Linked DNA regions of Stegostoma tigrinum. Each later gene encodes a partner of the first gene's protein in a complex. Links are inferred from orthologs where the notes say so. Each region holds a gene or a part of one and is shown on either strand. Other genes may lie near its edges.

Region 1 (10,528 bases):
ACCTGGTCTGATCTGCATGTGACTTCAGGTCCACAGTGCAGCGGTTATCTCTCAACCACCCTCTAAACTGGCCAGAACAGTTTCTTCCACATTTGCTGTTCTCAATCCAGATTTCCAGCATCAGCAGTATTCTATTTTCATCGAACATTGGATTGCCGTGGCTCAAAAGGACAGTTCACTACCACCTTATCAAGGACTACTATAAATACTGTCCTAGCTGGTGACACTCACATTGTATGAACAAATAAAAATAAAATTATGTGGTGGCTGACAGTGGGATAATGAGACTAAGAACCAAACGCCTCATGCCTCTTCTGCTGCAGGAAGCAATTTCTTCTCCATTTTCACCATGAACAACTGGGAGCAGAATGGTGGAAACATCAGCTTCAACAAATGGGTTCAGGGATTCTCGTTCGCAATGTGTTGTGGTACTTTCTGACTTGCATTTTGCCACATCAGAATGAACCAGGAAGAAGTTCATCCTCCGACTATTCAGTTCGCTCATAACTGATCATATGAAAAACATGCTGGTCCTCAAAGGAACTGCAAACCCAGGCTTAATGCTGGTAAAACATGGTGTTGTGCTGCTACTAGAATTCTGTTGGGAGAGAAATGAAACTGTCCCCTAGGGGTAAATGAGGCACAAATTCATTTTAAAACAGTCCATGACTTAGGCAAGTAAACTTCAAGGCACTCCTTCGGTAATTAAAGCTATTCCTGGCTTCCATGACACATGTAACCTCAACGAAATCCTGGGAGACCTGCTGGAATGTGGAGTTACTGTTGCCAGCTCTATAACCAAGGAAACATATCATTGTCTTCGAGGAGGCACCATGAAGGTTCTCTTGATTGATCCCTCAGATGGCAGCATTAATCAGTTAGGAGAGACAGTGCCGCACAGATGTGACACTGGGTAAATGCCAGCAGGAGGGCCCTCATAAGATCCTCCAAATCTAGAGGCAAGAAAGGTCATCCAACAACAGCATCCTGCTCAAACCAACATGTCTGGCATTGAGGTGCGAATCAATCAGAACCAGCTCCATTGGATGGGACATGTCACTGGTATGTCTGACACCACGCCCCAAAACAACTACGCCATACAGAGCTCAGCCATTGCAGGAGGCTCGCAGGAGGTCAACAGTAATATTTTAGGGCATCGCTGAAGAAGTCAAACATCCTTGCTGATTCATGGGATTCCCCACCTGGTAATTGACCAAAATAGAGGAGATTCAATGCTGGGTAGTAGCAAACAATGAGAAATGTCATCAGTAATGATGCAAAGGTAATACAACAGACTGAAGGGAGCACATAACCCATACTCACCCATCTCATCTCTTGATCCTACCAGCACCTCCTGAAGTTGCAGCTAGCACACTGGGTTCATCAGCTATCCCTGAATCCATTAAAACAGTGTGGAAGCAAGTCATCCTCAATCCCAAGGGTCTGTCTGAGATGGAGAAGCCATAACAATAGATCACACAATTCCTTTTCTCGTGTATTAGCAGAATATTTCTGGAAAATGAATTACATCAGATTTGCAGGCCAAAGATCACTTTTAGATATTCTCGAATCAACCTATTCAGGGATGTTATGACACACCCCTAGAACAGGTGGGACTTGAACCCACGTTGCCTGCCTTAGAGGTAGGAACACTGCCAATGCTTTTGTTACTAATCATTTGTAGCCTAGACCAATAAGTAGGATGTACACCATGTGCTGCTGGTCTTTATAATGTGTCCTCTGTATAGCAATGCAATAAATTAATAAGTAAGAAACTTTCATAATTATCAACTTTAAACCATAGCCTGTATAGTCAAAGGGTAAGTATTTGTCATGAAATGGTTTGTTTAACAATGACAGAACTCTCATCTCAGTCAGTATGTTGTTGTTTTCAGGGCCCACAGGAAAATCTAGGCTGTTGCATTGGCTCTTTTCTGAAGCAGTGCTATTGTGTTAGCGATGCCATTATTTAGATGAGGATGTTAGACCCTAAGATCCCACTTGCCCTCTTAGGTGGATGTAAGATATTCCATGGCACTATTTTGAAGCAAGAGATAACACAGTGTGGAGCTGGAGGAACACAGCAGGCCAGGCAGCATCAGAGGAGCAGGATAGTTGACATTTCGGGTCGAGACCCTTCTTCAGAAAGGGACAAGCCTTTTTTTCTCCATATTTGCAGTAATATGATTGGAATAAAGAAAGTAATCACTAAAGATCATCATTGTTCAACATTAAATGCCCATCAAGTACATGCTTCGCTCTGACACAAATGCCAAGACCCTCATGCAGTTTTTATACCAGCTAACTGCTTTATTACCTTATAATCATTCCTTGTTATGCTAGCTATTAGCTTTTTTTTTAGTTAATGCCTGGAAAATCCAACAGTGTGGGTTCAATCCCTGCACTGACTGAAGTTTTCATGGAGCACTCTTTGTCTCTACCTCTTCTCTTGACTGATCCTGAGGTTAAACCACCGCCAGTTATGTTCGTTTAGCGAGACAGCAGCCCTATGGGCTAGTAAGGCTATGGGAACTTCGTCTTTACTGAAGTATCTGGCATATCTCGTATATTACATTATTATATAAAGCCTTATAAGGACCTATTCAGTGTAATGCAAGCATTCTTCCAATGGACTGTGGATGGGCAATCACAGTTTCACATGGGGCTGCATGATCTTTGCTTATTTATTGGCCATTGTTGAAGTTTGTTTCCAAACTGTTTCAGAACAGTTACAATGTCACAGCGAGGCTTGAGGTGCTTGGCACGGAAAGTCACTGTACACTATGTCATGTCCTAGCTTAATACTTGAATAGAGTTCTGTGAAATCAGGGTGAGGAGAATTAGACTTGGAATGTTTGATACACTTAATAAAGTAATGGAGCAGATTGTGTTTCAAGATTTGAACACACAAGCTTCTAATGATGGACTAAAGACTCTAGAAGTGCTTCAGCACTTTGCAACATGTTTCAATCATTAAAACTTGTGTGCAAGCTTTTCATATGTTCCTCTTGTAATTGTTATGAGTGTCAATGGTTAGATTTTTAACCTTGTTGTTAGTGATTAAGGGATCTATCACAAATGGAGCCACATCATTAACAAATGTCCGCCCTTTAAAGACAATGGAGGCACAGCACAACTAATTTCTTATTTCATGTTTTATGGACAACTGCAATACCTGAGAAACAAATTTCACTGCATGCAGTAAGTGTAAAAATTTGCAAGGTTTGTCACAGGTAGGTACACTACAAAGCCATCATAGAATCCCTACAGTGTGGAAGCAGGCTATTTGGCCCATCGAGTCCACACCAACCCTCCGAAAAGCCCCCCACCCATATCCACTACCCCTACCCAATCCCGATAAACCTGCATTTCCCATGTCTAACCCACTTGGCTTGCACATCACGGGGCAATTTAGCACGGCCAATCCACCTAGCTTGAATATCTTTGGACTATGGGAGGAAACTGGAGCACCTGGAGGAAAACCACACAGACATTGTGAACGTGTAAACTCCACACAGACAGTTGCCCGATGTTGGAATCAATCCTGCGTCCCTTGTGCTGTGAAGCAGCAGTACTAACTACTGAGCTACTGTGCCACCATCATCCCAGCCATGTGACTAAATGAGAGGAGAAAGGCAAAAATATTGAGTTCAGAAGACCACATCACTGGCCAGGAAGTGCCTTAAATACAGGAAACCTTTTGTTGCAGTAAAACCAGAAAATTGCAGTACCATTTCATTCCATATTCTCATTGATTCCAATGATGTGGTTTATTACCTGTGAGTACAGCAGCTAGAATGAATTGATATTTGGGTGCAAATGTAATTATAGGCTATATGATCAAAACACTGTTGTGCAGAATGAGGTCACCTAAGCTCCTCCAAGGTAGAGTCAAATATATTAATTTACAAGTAATATTGATGCCAAGCGATCTCAGAATGAATATTTATCACATAGATGTGCCAGGAAGAGTTAGACCAAGTGTCTTTAATGGTTTGTTTTGATCCTTATCTGTATAAGCTTCTTATCCTTAAGCTTACACGGATCTAATCATTTATTCCCATTTCCCTCTTATCTGTCCCTGTTTCCCATCTCTTTAAGGAACAAAGGAATCATTTGATGGTGAGGACTGCAGTCTATCTATTTTGTCTTCTACCATCTGAGTAGACACAACAATATTTGAGTTATTGAATCTTCATATTTTTGCTCAATCAATCTTTATTGATTAGCCTCTAAAGAAACCTAGACAAGCGGCAAGGAAAATAGATTGGAGGCGTTAGAGAACTGCAGATTCATAGTTGTTTGTTCCTGTCAATGTTATATGGCATTTCCCATATAACATGCAGTTTAATAAAGTGTTGACAACTTTTGTGTATTGGACTAATTAATGTGGTCCTTCTCAAACTTATTTATTTTATTGTTGATTGTGGTTCCATCTGAGAATTGGCTTCAGTATTTCCTGTATTGCAACAATGACTATACTTTCGAAGTACTTTGTGTGTTGTCAAGAGCTTGAAGAGCAGCAAAAGACACTAGCTAGCAAACAGGAAAATAAGTAGAAGAGTCAGAAACCGATAGGGAATTGGGTGAACTGGTGAGAAAACAGGAACTTTAGCAGGCAAGAAGTGGACAGTCAAAAAGACTTGTGGGATGTACCAACAGCGAAGCTGAGCCAAATACAGGAAGTTAAAAATAATTAAGCAAGAAGACATCCAGGAATGAGAAACAGATAGGAGTGAACACACACACACACACACACACACGCACACACAAAGTTATTTGGCCAATCAGGTCTGCACTGGACGTCCAAATGAGCATTTCAGCCCTAGAAAGAATCTGAAGGAGTTCCTCAGAGTGGTGTCCTAGACCCAACCATTTTTAGCTGCTTCATCAATGACCTTGCCCTCCATCATTATGTTAGCAATTGGGTTGTTCACTGGTGATTGCACAATGTTCACGACCATTTGCAACTCCTCAGATATTGAAGCAGCCTGTGTCCATGTATCTCAAGATTTGGACAGCATACTGAATTGGACTAATATATGGCAAGGAAATTTTGTACCAACTAAGTGCAAGGCCATGAGCATTTCCATGAAGAGAGAATCTTGCTCCTTGATATTCAGTGGTATTATCATTGTTGAATCAACATCCTTGGGGTTATCATTGACCAGAAATTGATCTGCACTGCCAGATTAAATACTGTGACTACAGGAGCAGTTTAGATACTATATTTTCTTCAGTAAGTTACTCACCATCAATGCACGATTCACAAGACTCATATCAAGAGCGTGCTTCACACCATCCAGGCCAAAGCAGTCTGCTTCATTGACACCCCATTCACCAGTTTACAACATTCACTCCCTTCGCCTTCGCTGCACAACGATAACAGTGTGTACCATTCAGCAGTAACTCACCAAGGCTCCTCCTACAGAATCTTTCCTCCACCACCGAATGTACACAGGACAGCAAATACGTGTTTACTAATACGTGCAAGTTTCTGTTTAAGTCACGTGCTATCAAAATTTCTGAATTCGGTTAATGAACAAAAAGTAATATCTGTAAAACAGCAATTAATCAACCTGGAATAACACTTTCTATTTTCTGTCTTTATTTCCATCCCATTACCTACTGAAATTCATAGGCGTTTATAACTTTGAGGTAAATATCTTTAAAAAATGCATAAATCATTGGCTATGAACCTTTGGTGGTCGTGCAGAGAGTGGGAGAAAGTAAAACGAGGATAGAACCACACTCAGTTTCAATGACAAACTGAAATTGAGAGAATCAGCTCTATAGCAGACAAGGCAATGAAATGTTTGAGCCCGGAAACTGTGTCGAATTCCAGGACACTGCTAATCCCATGTTATTAATAGAACGTAAAGATGCAGCACTTGGTTATGAGTTTCTTTCAAGATAACCTCAAAAACCATGGCGCTCCTGTGAACACGGTGGTTCAGGCTGCACAGGGACGCTGTGTAGCTCCGCACTGCTCTGTCCTGCGCTGCTTCATGTCAAAGAGTAGTGAAGGAGATTAAGCTCCGGCAATAACCCCCTGTGTAGACAGGCTCAGCGACTCTCTATTGCCGACGTGTAACTGTTTGCACTGAGCTCATGGGGAGGTGCACTCCAGTGAACGGAGGCTCTCTGTTTTGTGTGCGGGCTTTTGCAAACAGCTGATCGAACCAAACTGACAGAGCCCCAGCTGCTGTCACTGTTCCTTTTAGCAGAAAAGTGCGAGGCAGGCCATTCCTGGAGAAAGTAGGGGTATGGTCCCTTTAATGGAAACTCTTTACCCACTGGATTGAGTCGGTTTCCCAGCGCCTGCGCTCTGCACGGTTGGCGGTGCCTTTAAGGTGAAATTGCCGATTTCGTCATTGCAGGCGATTGAGGGGAGGAAGAGAAAGAGGAGGAGAGAGAGAAAGAAAGAAAAGAAGAGAAGAAAAGAAGAAGAAGAAGAAGAAGAAGAAGTAGTAGTGGGGTGGTGGGTCTGGGCGTTAGAACAAGGATTCAGTACGAGACAGTGTGCAAGTTAATGTGTAGGAGCCCAGGGCTGGGGAAGAGCCAGAGAGAGACACACACACAGACTGACAGGAGGCTGGGTTGGGGGGTGGGAAAGCGAGTGGAAATTCACCAGGAGCGCAGTTCCCTGCCAGAGGCTGTCACTGAACTGAAGATTACAGAGCTGCAAGCAAACGGAACCTGCGACTTCAGGGTGCTGACAGTCCTGGGTGGCAGAGGGAGACGATGGGATCCACCTGATCGCCTTCCCGAAAAATCAGGCAGTTATTCCCAGCCGCCTTCCCAACGCTGGGAGGAAACTGATCAGCACGACATCCCTTTCAGATCGCCCGGTGCGGAGGAAGAGCCGGAGATGTCTGTGCCTGTGAGTATCTCTTCACGTTCACAAAGTCCCCTTCCCGTGCCTGCAGTGAAGTGCAGCCTCGCTGGCCAGTGGCTCCCCCCGAATCGGCTGCCGCTGTTTGCAAAGCTCGGGTGGGTGATGGTGCCGCGATGTTAGTTGGAGCTGGTTCTGTTTGAATGGGGAGTGTGGAGGCCGGGGCCCCAGGCTGCTAGCTGGAACTCTGTGCACGACCGTTCCCTCTCCTGCGAGACCGGTCCCAAGCCCCGGACCAGTACTTACGAGGCTCCTTTTTATGATAGAGGAGAGTGGGCATTTATTTTCGTGTGCACTTTATCCTGCAGAGTATTTGCAACTGTAAGAGAATCCAGATTCAGATTCGTCTGTGTGGTAAATACTGTCTTTCAGGTTGTTAAATGCAGCGTTTACTGGCAAACCGGGTTTTTTTCTGAATTGGAGGAATTGGTTAAATCTTGTTCGTTTGTTCGCAAATGCACTACGCAAGAATTACAAATTGTTTATTGATGCTCCGAGTGTGGGTGTGAAACTTCATAGCTGAGTATTACCACCTGATCCTACTCTTTGACTATCAACGCCACCCTCCGACCCCCAAAAGTAGGAGAACAAATTTCACCAGAAACTTTTCACTCGAACATAGTTCATCATTTCTATGTTGATATGTTCCCAGTATCCATCTGCCCCTCTCTGTCTTCGGGCTGTTTTCTTCGAACACAATAACAGAGCGAGAGAAAATAAGCAAATCTGGGAACATGGAATAAGCCTTACAGAGATTCAATTCCGTCAAGGCTGTGTACACATCGGCCGCATTCACTGGCCTGAAGGTCAGCTACTGGAACCCTGGTTATGAACAATGTATTTTGGGGTCTTGTTGCCGTTGAGAAGGTGGTGATAAGTTGCCTTTTGAGAATTACTGTAGTCCTGCGGTAAAATGGACTCGTGATACTGTTAGCTGGAGAATTTCAGCTTGTTTTATTGGGCAAAGAAGAAGAAACAGGGAGTTACTTCTGAGATCTGGATAGTAAGTGACTTGAAGGGGCACTTTCAGGTTGTACTGTTCCATGTGCCTGCTGCCCCTGTCAGTCTCTGCTAGCAGACGGTTACCTATAGTTCAACAGCTTAAAATATAGCTGCACAAGTCAAAAGAAACTCGTCTTGGCATGGTACAAAATTACTTTCCTGTTGCTTAATAGACTAAAACCTGGGTACAAAGCTTGTAATGTGCGTGTGACAACAGAAATGCAGCATATGATATGAGCCCAAATTATAATTACTGTAATAAAAGTTCAAAATGACCATTTGGATGGTTTCACTTTACTGTTTTCAGGCTGTGTTGGTACAAGGGCCAAATCAGACATTTTTACTAATGTCTTAGCTGAACTGACTTTAATGTGGAACAGCATGATCGGCGTGCACTGCCAATATGTATCAAATAACAGGGTTATCGCAGTACCTAGGTGGGGTGCTTAGAGTAATTATATAGTAGCAAAGGAACAGGATCTGATTCCTTCTATTTCACTTGTTGGTTTTTAGATCAGTGCACCTCACTGGAACTGAAATCAAATGAAATGCAATAAACGGAGAGCTGATTTAAGTTAAAACGTTTTTTTTTGCTGACCGTGTTTGTTGTCTGTGAGTAATGACTCAGCATCTGTGCTGTGAAAACTATACCGTTTGCTTGAGTGAATATAAATGCAGTGCTGGCAAATTGTACCAAATGTGAGTAGCTTCACCGACTCTGAGAGGATAGATCGGTGACAGGGACCACCATTGGAACTCTGTAGAATTTTGCCAAGTCTCTCTTTTTATGAAAAAATAAACAAAGATCATCAACAGAAACAAATACTTTTGGGGGAAATTGAATAAAACACAGTTGTAAATAATCATGTAAGGCTTTAGTTTGTACAAGAACAGCAGTTTGAATGGGAATTATTCGGTTCAGATAGTCTGTCTGTCTGTTCCAGTATTAGATAAACTGCTTCATAAACTTTATTTACTGGGAAGGTTGTGTGTATTGGTAATGTTACTGAACTGCACGTTGAAGTTCAGAGGGCATGGATTTGAATGCCACCATGGCAGATAGTAAAATTCGAATTCAATTTTTAAAAAAAATCCTGAAATTGAAAAGCTAGCCTAATGATGACCATGAAGCCAATGTTGCAAAAACCCATCTAGTTTACTCATGTCCTTTGGAGAAGGGAATTTATTGCCCCCTACCTGGTCTGGACTAGATGTGACTGCAGAGCCACAGCAGTATGTTAGTCTTAGCTGTCCTCTGAAATGGCCCTAGCAAGGCTGTTAGGGATTGGAAATAAATGCTAGACCAGCCTGAGATGACCGTAAGACGTAGGAGTGGAAGTAAGGCCATTCAGCCCATCAAGTCCACTCCACCATTTAAATCATGACTGATGGGCATTTCAACTCAACTTCCCTGCACTTTCCCCGTAGCCTTTGATTCCTTCTGAGATCAAGAATCTGTCGATCTCTGCCTTGAAGGCTTCTAACGTCCCAGCCTCCACTGCACTCCGTGGCAATGAATTCCACAAGCCCACCACTCTCTGACTGAAGAAATGTCATCAAATTTCAGTTTTAAATTTACCCCCTCTAATTTTAAGGCTGTGCCCACGGGTCCTAGCCTCCCCGCCTAATGGAAACAACTTCCTGGTGTCCACCCCTTCTAAACCATACATTATCTTGTAAGTTTCTATCAGATCTCCCCTCAACCTTCTAAACTCTGAGTACAATCCCAGGATCCTTAGCCGTTCATCATATGTTAAACCTACCATTCCAGGGATCATTCATGTGAATCTCTGCTGGACATGCTCCAGGGCTAATATGTCCTTCCTGAGGTGTGGGGCCCAAAATTAGACTCAGCATTCTAAATGGGGCCGAACTAGAGCTTTATAAAGCCTCAGAAGCACATCATTGCTTTTATATTCCAACCCTCTTGAGATAAACGACAACATTACATTCACTTTCTTAATTATGGACTCTACCTGCAAGTTAACCTTTAGAAAATCCTGGACCAACGCTCCCAGAGCCCTTTGTACTTCTGCTTTACGAATTTTCTCACCATTTAGAAAATAGTCCATGCCTGTATTCTTTTTTCCAAAGTGCAAAACCTCACATCTCCTCACATTGAATTTCATCAGCCATTTCCTGGACTACTCTCCTAAACTGTCTAAATCTTTCTGCAGCTTCCCCACCTCCTCAGTACTACCTGCCTGTCCACCTATCTTTGTATCATCGGCAAACATCGCCAGAATGCCCCCAGTCCCTTCATCCAGATCATTAATATATAAGGTGAACAGCTGCGGCCCCAACACTGAACCCTGTGGGACAGCACTCATCACCAGTTGTCATTCCAAAAAAGAGCCTTTTATCCCAACTCTCTGCCTTCTGTCAGACAGCCAATCCTCAATCCAAGCCAGTAGCTCACTTCGAACACCATGGCCCCTCACCTTGCTCAGCAGCCTCCCGTGAGGCACCGTATCAAAGGCCTTTCGGAAGTCGAGATAGATAATATCTACTGGGTTTCCCTGGTCTAACATACTTGTTACTTCTTCAAAGAATTCTAACAGGTTTGTCAGGCACGACCTCCTCTTACTAAATCTATGCTGACTTGTTCTAATTTGACCGTGCACTTCCAAG
Region 2 (10,772 bases), on another chromosome or scaffold:
CCAGCCTTAAATCAATGAGTCCTCTAACACGCAAACCTTAAGCTGGGTCCACCAACATTTTTTGCTTGTATTTTAATACTTGTGAAGTCACATTAGCGTCTCACTCATACCCCAGCACCAACCACATCTCCAATCTCCACTTTAAAGACTGAAAAAATCTAGAGGGAAAAGGCATAAGAAAAATTCACCTAAAAAAATCTCAAGACTCCATCGCATTGAGTCAGTGATCTTGGGTGAAGCTGTAACTGCTTAAAAGTTCAACCCATGTTCACTCTGTCACATTACATACTTCTGATTTCATGTCCTTTCCATTATTGTTCTGACATTTCACTATCTCCTCCAAGAACATCTTCTGATGGGGACAGTAAGGACTGTAGATATTGGAAGCTAGAGTCAATAAATGTGGAGCTGGAAAAGCACAGCAGGTCAGACAGCTTCCGAGAGGCAGGAAAGTCGACGATTTGGGCCAAAGCCCTTCGTCAGGGCCATCATCCCTGCAAATGTGGCACTGACAACTGACACTGAGCACAGGGAAGTCCTGAACTGTGTGTCAGCGATTTATATCAATCTGTGGAGAGGGTGAAAGCATTTTGAGGGGTAAAACTCAGCAACAACAGCCACAGGTGCCAACCAATATCCTTTGTCTTGCATCTTTCCAACTCCACCTGCTTAAAACTCAGAGCAGCCATTTAAGTTTTTCTGTTTTCTGCCTGCTTAGAATTTCCAGTCCAAACTAATATTTTTCTCCCAATCCCTTGCTGTCTCAAAGTGCTATGCATTGTTCCAGCTTTACAGGAAAATGGTCATCCAAGTGACCCAAGGTTGCAATGCCAGAACAGGAGGGAGAGGAGGAATAATGTTAAAACTTTGAAAACACACCCACACTGGTCACCTTGCTTCCCTTTGACCCTCATCATCTTTAAGCTGTGGTTCAGTTGGTAACAACTGGCTACTGAGTCTAAAGGCTGTGGGCTTGAGTCTCAGCTGAGAGTGTCAGCACAAAAATAATCAAAGCAGATGTTTTTGTACAGTACTAAGGGAGTGCCATTGTGTGGGCGAGATATTGAAGCTCCTCATCTGTCTACTCGAGCTTGCTGATTGCAAGCTGGTTGTCACATTTCTTACAATACAGCAGTGACTATATGTTACCAGTATTTAATTTGCTGTGCAAAGTGTGACATAAAGGCCAGGCTTTCTTATTTTACACTGCCCTTCCTTCGCCACCACCCACATTTTTCCAAGGCCTTTCCAATCTCAATTCTCTGTCTGCCTCAGCTCAGATGCCAGTTTCACAGGCACTAGCAGTCTTCAACAAAATTCTTCAAGTGTAAGCCAAGGCTGTGACAGTCAACAGGCAATTCAGCTGTGAGTGGCAGCACTGGAATGTGTCAGACTGGAAAGATCTGGCCAATCCCAGCCTTTGCTGAGTGAAAACCATCAGCAAAGTTCTCAGCACGGTCAGAATGCACCCATCAGATTGAACTCGCCTGAGGGGAGAGGGAAACCGTCTGCTTTCCATCCAATAGCTTTCTTAATTGGCTTGGAGGCAGTTTCTCTATCAGATTTAGAGGAGTGTGCTCTCAAAGTGTGACAGCCAGAGATCTGCCAACTTCAAAGGAGGGAACAACTGCAGGAATGCATTAGTAACCAAGAGAAAACATCAGCGAAAAGCACCTCTCTTAACCCTTTTAAAAATATAATTAAAAGGTAGAGCAAGCGGCCAAGCCAGCATCTATAGAGCAGCCTATAGTTGTAGTCCTGCCCAGGTAAGAAGGGAGTATTGGTATCTGGGCCTGCGTTGGAGGCCTACTCACAGGAGATCCACTCCTCTCCATCACATGGACAACAGTAAAATCATATTCAGTCTTCCTGACTTATCTTCAGCTTTTAAATCCGATCTGCGCCATACCTGGCACATAAGAAGATGGTTGTGATTGTTGGAAGTCGGTCATCTTAACTCCAGGACATCTCTGCAGGAGTTCCTTAGGTCAGTGTCTTAGACCCAACCATCTTCAGCTGCTTCATCAATGACCTTACCTCCATCATAAGGTCAGAAGTGGGAATGTTTGCCAATAATTGCACAATGTTCAGCACCTCTCATGACTGCTCAGATACTGAAACAGTCCATGCCCGAATGCAGCAGGACCTAGATAATATCCAGGTTTGGGCCGACAATTGGTAGGTGACATTCACGCCCCATAAGTGTCAGGCAATGACCATCTCCAACAAGAGACAATTAACCATTGCTCCTTAGATAACACAGTGTGGAGCTGGAGGAACACACAGCAGGCCAGGCAGCATCAGAGGAGCAGGAAATTTGACATTTTGGGTCAGGACAGTTTTTTCAGAAATGGAGAAGGGGAAGGGCGCTCAGAAATAAAGAGAGAGGAGGCGTGGGGCTGTGGAAGGTAGGTGGAATGGTGATAGGTGAATGCAAGTAGGGAATGGTGGGGATTTGTCAGTGAGATGGGAGGAGTGGTTAGGTGGGACAGAAGATGGACAGGTCCCGATCCGAAACATATATTTTTCTGCTCCTCTGATGCCGCCTGGCCTGCCGTGTTCCTCCAGCTCCACACTGTGTTATCTTTGACTCTAGCAGCTGCAATCTTGCTAACTCTAACCATTGCTCCTTGTTGTTCATGGCATTATCACCACTGAATGCTCCACTATCAACATCCTGAGCATTACCATTGACCAAAAACTAAACTGCAAGTAGGCTAGCCATCTAAATACAGTGGCTACAAGAACAGGTCAGAAAGTAGGAGTAACTCATCTCCTGACCTCCCAATGCCAATCCACCATCCACAAGGCACCAGTCATGAGTACAGTGGAATACTCTCAATTTGCTGGGATGAGTACAGCTCCAACAAATTACAAGAACCATGACATTCAGGACAAAGCATCAGCCCACTTGATTGGCCACAAAGATTCACACCCTCCACCCTCAATGCTCAGTAGCAGAAGTGTTTATTGTCCACAAGGCTCACTCCAGAAATTCACCAAGGCTCCTGAGTTAGCATCTTCCTGACCCAGGACCACTACCTCCTCAAATGATTTGGGCAGAAGATACAGTGGAACATTGCAACTTCCCCTGGAAGCCACTCACCATCCTGGCTTGGAAACAAATTCCCATTCCTTCAGTGTTGCTGGGCCAAAATCCTGGAATTCCTTCCCTAAGGGCATTGTGGGTCAACACCCAGCACATGGACTGTAGCTGTTTAAGAAGGCAGCTCATCATCATCTTCTCAAATGCTGGACAGCCAGTGACAACCATCCCATGAGAAAAATTTTTTAAAATGAGCCTAAATGACAGCCTGTGGCATGAGATAGAAAAGCTCTTGCAGCTCTGAATCTGCTCCAGCCAAAATAAACTGACACTGGGAACAGGAAACCAGTACTCCAGCTAGTTCTGGTATTCTTGGGTTCCATCCACCTCCATTTCCAAAACTATCAAAGCCCCAAAACCCTGTGCTGTCTTTGTATGTTGAAGAAGGGCACAGTAAAGTTTGGCTGAGGTGCCCAGGCTGAATATCTTGCTTGTGTTCGTTTTCCAAATCACGGATAAGCAGAGTCCAGTTGCATGAATAATACAAGCGGGAACTAGTATCTGCACAATTGTAGCCCTGCAGAGAAAGAAGGGATAGATTTTACATTAAAGGATGGAATTGAAAATAAACATAAAATCAGGAACTTAAAATTTCAACCAGTAATCACCTGAGACTCTTCGGTGCAATTAATGGGTAGCAGCAGGGTTTAATTATCAATGTGGACCCCTAGGTAAATGCAAATTGCCACATTTTATTCAGCAAGCTGTCATATAAATCAGCATTTGCAGAGCATGGAGACTGAAATGTTCAGTTGGATATTTCCTTCACAGATGTGCAATGTTGAGGTTACACTTACTTGGAGCTAATCATCTCGAGAAAGAATATCAATTAATAAAGAGAAGAAATATTCTGATTTGAATTGCTCGGCTCAGCTCATGAAGTAGTGCTTTAGATACAGGGTAATTATTTACCTGATCGGTCAGGGGGTTTTATTGAGTGAACGATTGAACTGTTTGAAAGAAAGGACAGTTCCAAGTTTGATTTGCTGTTTGTGCTGAATTAATTGATCAGTCAAGATGTTAGAAAAACTCTCAGTGCCCCTGATGGAGCAGGCATGAAATCAGTCAGCTGTTTCTTCTTTGGATCACAATCCATGATCACTATTTGAGGTAGTGCATATGTGAGTGTCAGGCAATTGAAGGATTAGATTCTCTGGATTTTGGGAATGCTGCTGATGCTCACTGTTAGTAGTACACATGCACGTTAGTCACATGGATACAGAACCAAAGGTTCACCGATAGCAACAGAACAGTTGCCATGACCTTGACATTCCTTGTATCAACCTTTTGTGACTTTAGTGTGGGGTCAGTAGGTGGACAACTCTAGGGTAAACAGACCACTACGGGTCTATCTTTGATGCCCACACATCAATGGAAACTTACCTATTTGCCACTTGGGATTGGGTGCTCAGGAACCTCTCACTGTACCCATTGTCCTTTGCTACCTGAGAAAGGAAGCTAATCCAGGTAACAAACAAAACTTCATTATTAATTATTAGCAGCCTGACTCAGCCATGGATCTCAGTGGCAAGGCTGACATAACTCCTTATGGTCACCGTGTGTCCATTGACTTAATGACACTGCTGTATCATTTCTTCAGCCCACATCTAGCTTCATAGCTAAGAACCACAAAGTTAAGAAATCCACATATTGGCCACTATTTGTCTTGACAGCCAGAGGCTGTGCCCCTTAGACGCTTACATGGGTGCTCTTAGAAACAACAGAGGCCTATCACAACCAGATTGCCCCCACTCTCATGGAGTTTCTGTGGGTGGCTCGTAGGGGTTATGGCAGGACATCGGTAAAGCCCTCAAAGAACGTCAGACCTCTTGTCATTAACTGGGTGGCTAAGAGATAACATCAGCAAAGAAAAATCCAGATTTTTTTGGAACAACAATATCTAGATTGTGGGAACTACTTGTATCCTAATGTGCAGTGTGGTGTGCACTTTGTACTAGCTGCAACTGGAAGCAGTGAGTGAGTCAGCAATAAAATGTGTGACTAAACACTAATTCTTGAGGGATTTCACCCAAGTATAAAGAATGTGAAATCGTGGAAGGAAAAATGCCTTGAAATAAATATTTAAATTAAATTAAGTTGCACTGTTCCAACAATGAGTCTTTGGGCTACAAGCAGTAATCTATGGGCCAAATGGTTTCTTTCCTGACTGTAGCGATTGTATGATTCTAACCTTCATTCTGTCTCCACAGATACTGCCAGACCTTGCTCCATTCCATTTTAATTTTTATCAACATCATTTTCATAATTAGCAACAAATCTTGCTACAAGGTCTATCCAAGGACAGTAGCAGGCTGAGCTGTGTCAGTCTTCATGGCCAAATAACCCACTGTCCAAACTCAATCACAAAGAATAGCTGCCTGCATGATTTATTGAAAAGCATTCTGTGTCCATGTAACCGTGCTGTAGCAGGAATCATCATCATCAGGAGGACTGTTGGAGGACAAAAGATAAATGATAAAGAAACTTAAGGCAGTCCAATTCAAGATTCCTGGGACAACATGTTGAAAGATAATTAGAAATTTGCTTATTCAAAATGTGACTTTCACATTTCTGGCATTGCTTGAGCTTGTTTGTAGAAGCTTTCAGCTCTGGATATTTAGGTCACGTAGTCATAGCAACCTGGGGAGCCCAGGCCTACTAAACCAGGTTACTAAAAAAGAACAGATGTTAGAAACCCTTTCTAACCTTCAAGAAAATCGTGATTGTGAAAAAAAACGAGCTACAAAAATATTCGCTTATCTGAGTTTTCACTGACAAAGTAATATTCCCTTCACCAATGACCCTGCATTTCTCACATTTTTGTTTTGTTTTGTCAGAGTTCCAGAGTTTGCAGTTTTAATTTATTTGCGTTTGGGTTTGCAGTAGACAACAGTCAATCACTATTGTCAGTTCTCCACCAGTACTCTGTACGTGACAGCCTGCAGCTTATTACCTTCTGAATCAGAGATAAAGTGAAAAACACAAATGCAAAGAAAACTGACATAAACATGGAAAACACAGGAAAAAAAGCAGAGCAGATAGTTCAGTGCTTCAAACAGAAAAAGCAGATTAACATTTGAAGTGTGATCCCTCATCGTGGTCCTGAGCTTTTAACTTGCTCAAAGTCTTCTTTTCCAAGCAAAGTCTTTTCTAGGAATAAAGAGGTCAATTCAGCACCAAAATGAGTAACCACTAAATCCCTCCCCCTCCATCCATCCCCCTTCCAGACACAGATACACATACAGTGCATAATTACTATACATATCTGATTGGCTGCAAGGTCAGTTGCTTTAAAAATGTTGGTCCCTCCTTTATCTCCAACAAGCTTCCACTGTGTGTGTGCCGTATTACGCTTAGTCTAGGCTTGCTCCCTCTGACTGCACCATTCTATCCGGCTCCCCTCAGCATTCTTCTCATCTCTTGACCTTCGCCCCTTACGATGCCCAGAGTTCCCTCAGAGAAGCAACTGAAGCTCAGCTTGTTCAGAACTGATACAAAGCTCCTACTGTCCATATTTGTCTGAGATACTCCAGCCACTGACTGTCACATCCGTTTTCAGAGTTTCCAAAAGGGGAGACGAGACTGCGAGGTTTATTTCAGTAACAACACCGAAGAGGTCTGCTCCATACCTGGGACACAGGCTCACAACCAACAGGTATTTTTAAACTGACAACAAACTCTCTAGATTTTAAATATTCCTCCTTAATGAAAATGTGCAAGAACGTCCTTTTCTAAGTGTATTTGAACAATATTATCTACCAATGCAATTCGTACTCCTGTAAAGAGTGGATTTGTAGACAATCTAACCTTATCAAATCAGTACAGAGGACTTACTCTTAAAAATAATCTGAAAAATACAACGTTAATTAAGAAGTCACGTATGTTTCCTAACTTAATTAATTTTAATAATTTTTTGTTTTGTTAATTTTCTTCTTTCATTCTCAATGTGGCTGACTCTACCTTGTGTACAGTGACGTGTAAACCAAAGAACAGCCACCTTGGTGAGAGGCCAACAAGCTTCTGATGCCCACATTATCATACTGTACATTGGCAATAGTCATTACCCTTAGTAAAAGAGAAGGGAGAGGGTGCAGAAACGCTGGGAGGAACCGGAATGAAAATGCTAACCAGTTTTCGTCTTTGTCACTTTCATCTCATGGACACACTGCAGCTGCAGATGTCCCTTGGGCTAGTTACAGTTTAATTCTCAGGATATTTTGAATATACACAAATACGATTTGTAGGAAGATAGAGTTGACTGGAGCTTAGTGTTTTAAGATTTGGCTTAATGCTCAGTGTTATATTTGATCTATTATTTAGTAAATAGTGGACAGTTGGTTAGTTTAAATGCCCTGTAGATGTACTTTAGACTTCATTGTAAGCAGTTCAGTGGTTCATGCATTTTTGTCATTTAATTGAAAAGCACTATGCCAGAATCAAGACCTAGCATTATTAAAGGAACTCTCATACCACTGGGCTGTATTCATATATGAATATTTAGGAGAAGGTGATTGCTGTAAATCCTACAAGCTTCTTTTAAAAGATCTCAATACCACTAATCATTTTTAGAAACATATTCAGTTTCCTTAAGCCTTCTTTGCTAACTCATTCCACAAGTCTATTAGTCTTTTGAAGTATGAAAAAAAGTTTACGCTTTCTGCTCTTAAGTTTCACATGTTTTAATTCAGTGCTTTGAGTATAGGAGTTGGGACATCATGTTGCAGCTGTACTGGATATTGATGAGGCAACTTTTGGAATACTGTGTTCAATTCTGGTCCCCCGGCTGTATGAAAGATGTTGTTAAACTTGAAAGAGTACAGTAAAGATTTACAAACATGTTGCTGGGATTGGATGGTTTGAATTATGGGGAGAGGCTGAATAGGCTGGAGCTTTTCTCTCTGGAGTGTCAGAGGCTGACGGGTGACCTTGTAGAGGTTTATAAAATCGTGAGGGGCATGGATAGGGTGAATAGCCAAGCTCTTTTTCTGAAGCTAGGGGAGACTAGAAGGCATAGGTTTAAGGTGAGAAGGGAAAGATTTAAAAGGGTGTTGAGGGGCAACTGTTTTCCTACAGAGGGTGTTTCATGTATGGAACAAACTGTCAGAGGAAGTAGTGGAGTGGGTGCAATTATAACATATAGAAGGGATCTGGATAGGTACCTGAAATAGGAAGGGTTTAGAGGCATATGGGCCAAACGCTGCCAAATGGGACTAGATCAGTTTAGGGTACCTGGTCCAGTGAAGACAAGTTGGACCGATGAAGGGTCTAGGCCCGAAACGTCAGCTTTTGTGCTCCTGAGATGCTGCTTGGCCTGCTGTGTTCATCCAGCCTCACATTTTATTATCTTGGAATTCTCCAGCATCTGCAGTTCCCATTATCTCTTGGACCGATGGGTCTGCTTCGTGTTGTACATCGCCATGACTCTATAACTTTTCAGTATTTCTGATCTTGAAAGTTTCAATTTGCATTCTTAACATCTTCACTACCTTATAACTTAAAAATTTTTCATGTGGATTCATTTCCTTTGCTCATCTCTGCACCCTTTAAGTAAACAATATCCTTCCTATTATAAAATTCCCAGAATTACTTACAATACTGAAGGTATGTTAGTTATCAAGAGATTTTCCGATTACAGTTGAAACATTTTGCACACCGCATGAAATTAGTCCATTGCATTATCATTTAAATTAGTTTCCAGACAAGGGTCAAAGTGATTTGATTTGAGTTATGAGAATTCCGTGGGACTGTCAGGATCTTGAAACTCTAACTTTAGAAGTGCTGATTCTCTAAATAGTTTAGAAAAGGTGTTAGGCAAGTGCTTGGGGATGAGGAACTTTCAGAGCTTTGGACAAAATGCAAGGCACTGGGGGACCAAGAACAACTGCTTTTTAAAAGGGACAATATGGATACAAAAAGTAGAAATAGCTCCTTCTGTGCAGTACGTTTCAATGGTTCCATTAAATCTTTCTTTGTGAAGCTGCGAACAGGTCATGATGTAAGAAAACCCTGTTGAATAGACTATGCTATTGATATCGCAAACAGAGTTCTCATGTCTCTCTACGGTATGGGAGAAAACTGAGACTGAAGATGTGCCTGGATCACTCTTCTCTGAGGCTTGCGTTCCAAGCATCGCTGGTGGCAGCCTTTGAACAGGACAGCCACCCACTTCCTCATAGCTCTGCTGTTGCCTGTAGAAAACTAATTATGGTTTAAGAAGTACAGTTAGCTCCTAAGTACTTGCATTTCCCCCGCCTCATGCTTTTATCTAATGCACTGTTTAAAGTAAACAGGTCTGTGTTAAACAATCTAAGTTAAAAAAAGGTGTGGGAAAAGATTTTCCACATTCACTGACCTGTTACCTCAAGAAATGATGCAGGGAAGCAACATATGAATGTACTTGCAAAACATAAGTTATTTTAATAATTTAAATTCTTGGCAATGTCCTATTCAATATTTATTTCTCAACCAAAGTCACAAAAATGTATTACCAATGATTCTTACATTGCTGCACAAAATTCACTGCTGCAGAAAAATGACCACAAAGAGCCCCCAACGACTTGACGTTGTGAAGTCTCTTTCCAGTCATTGTTAAGGAGTGCTCATTATGCCACGTAGAGGGGCAGTTGTCCACAACTGAAGGGTCCCATACTGCCTCTGTTCTAAATGCATCAATACACTGAGTTGCTAAATTACATTTATATTTTGAATGCTACAGTTGGACTTAATGACAACAAAAAGGTCTGCAGAGATGTTATCAAATTGCTGATTATGGAATCTTTGTTGCTCTAAATTGGTTGCCATGTTCCTTACATTGCAACAGTGATCACATTTCAAAAGCACTTAATAATCTGTAAAACTGCTTTGGGACACCCTGGGGTTCTGAAAGGTGCTCTGAAAATCTTTTCTTTAAAATCCCATGTGCACGTCTCCCTATTGTTGAATGCAACATTTTTTTTAATGAATGTATATTTTTGATATATAGCTCTATAACATTTTAACTGGAATCTTGTACTGATTCCTGCCCATTACTATCACAGCTTGTGACAGCACTGGCTTTCTGGGTGGCTTCTTTTGTATATTTAAGTCAGGGCTTGTTGGTACTGTGTGGAGAGAAAACTCAGTGGGAACCTGCCCTCCTGGGATCAGAACTGAGTTTATAGGCCTGTATAATTTGACCTTTATATCCCAAAGGTCTTCAGCTAGTTTATGAGGGTTGCCATGTCATTACTAGTCTGCAATGTCCATTTGTAGTCTCGGTAATTAATTCTGAGAATGTGGATAGTAGTTAAACAATATGACTGAGAGCTTACATTTTCTTCCCCTGCAAGGAAGCTTAAACAGACAGAAAGCTTCCCTACACAGTGACTGTCCATCTCGTGGACTGTCAGACACATGCATCACAGCTTTCAGTGTTTTTACAGATCCCTTATTCATCTATGGTGACTAAACATCTGGCTTTGTAGTGGACACTCGGGTTTTGTTGTGGACCGCCTAGTTTTGTAGTCGTCAGTCTGGTTTTGTAGCAGACAGTCCAGTTTTGGAGTGTACAGTCCAGTTTTGGAGTGGACAGTCCATTTATAATGGACCATCTGGTTTTGTAGTGGACAGTTCAGTTTAGTAGCAGACAGTCTGGTTTTGTAAGGGACCATCCAGTTTTCAGCTGCTC

Evidence for each region. Proteins that work in one complex are often made in the same cells at the same time.
Region 2: the proteins of bcar1 (region 1) and SH2 domain-containing protein 3C-like are in contact, whole or in part, in a crystal structure (PDB 3T6G), measured with the Homo sapiens proteins. The link is inferred for Stegostoma tigrinum from reciprocal best matches to the Homo sapiens genes BCAR1 and SH2D3C. Residues at the interface, in NP_055382.2 of Homo sapiens: Ser739, Gln742, Phe746, Tyr747, Gln750, Asn754, Val779, Ser782, Lys783, Ile786, Leu787, His790, Val793, Phe794, Ile795, Asp797, Thr798, Arg801, Gln802, Ser816, Asn817, Cys820, Leu823, Arg824, Val827, Lys831; in NP_733745.1 of Homo sapiens: Thr543, Val544, Pro545, Val547, Gly616, Val617, Arg618, Glu622, Thr625, Leu626, Pro627, His628, Leu749, Leu752, Leu753, His771, Gly772, Val773, Glu774, Val776, Leu777, Leu780, Glu781, Ala783, Arg784, Ala787, His788.

The regions. Positions count from the first base shown.
Region 1 is NC_081369.1:19,943,282-19,953,809, forward strand, and holds the start of bcar1 (breast cancer anti-estrogen resistance protein 1), read left to right. Parts: upstream 1-6,363; 5' UTR 6,364-6,532; coding exon 6,533-6,883; intron 6,884-10,528. UniProt on the Homo sapiens protein: Docking protein which plays a central coordinating role for tyrosine kinase-based signaling related to cell adhesion. Implicated in induction of cell migration and cell branching. Involved in the BCAR3-mediated inhibition of TGFB signaling.
Region 2 is NC_081382.1:34,292,490-34,303,261, forward strand, and holds the start of SH2 domain-containing protein 3C-like, read left to right. Parts: upstream 1-6,450; 5' UTR 6,451-6,761; intron 6,762-10,772. UniProt on the Homo sapiens protein: Acts as an adapter protein that mediates cell signaling pathways involved in cellular functions such as cell adhesion and migration, tissue organization, and the regulation of the immune response.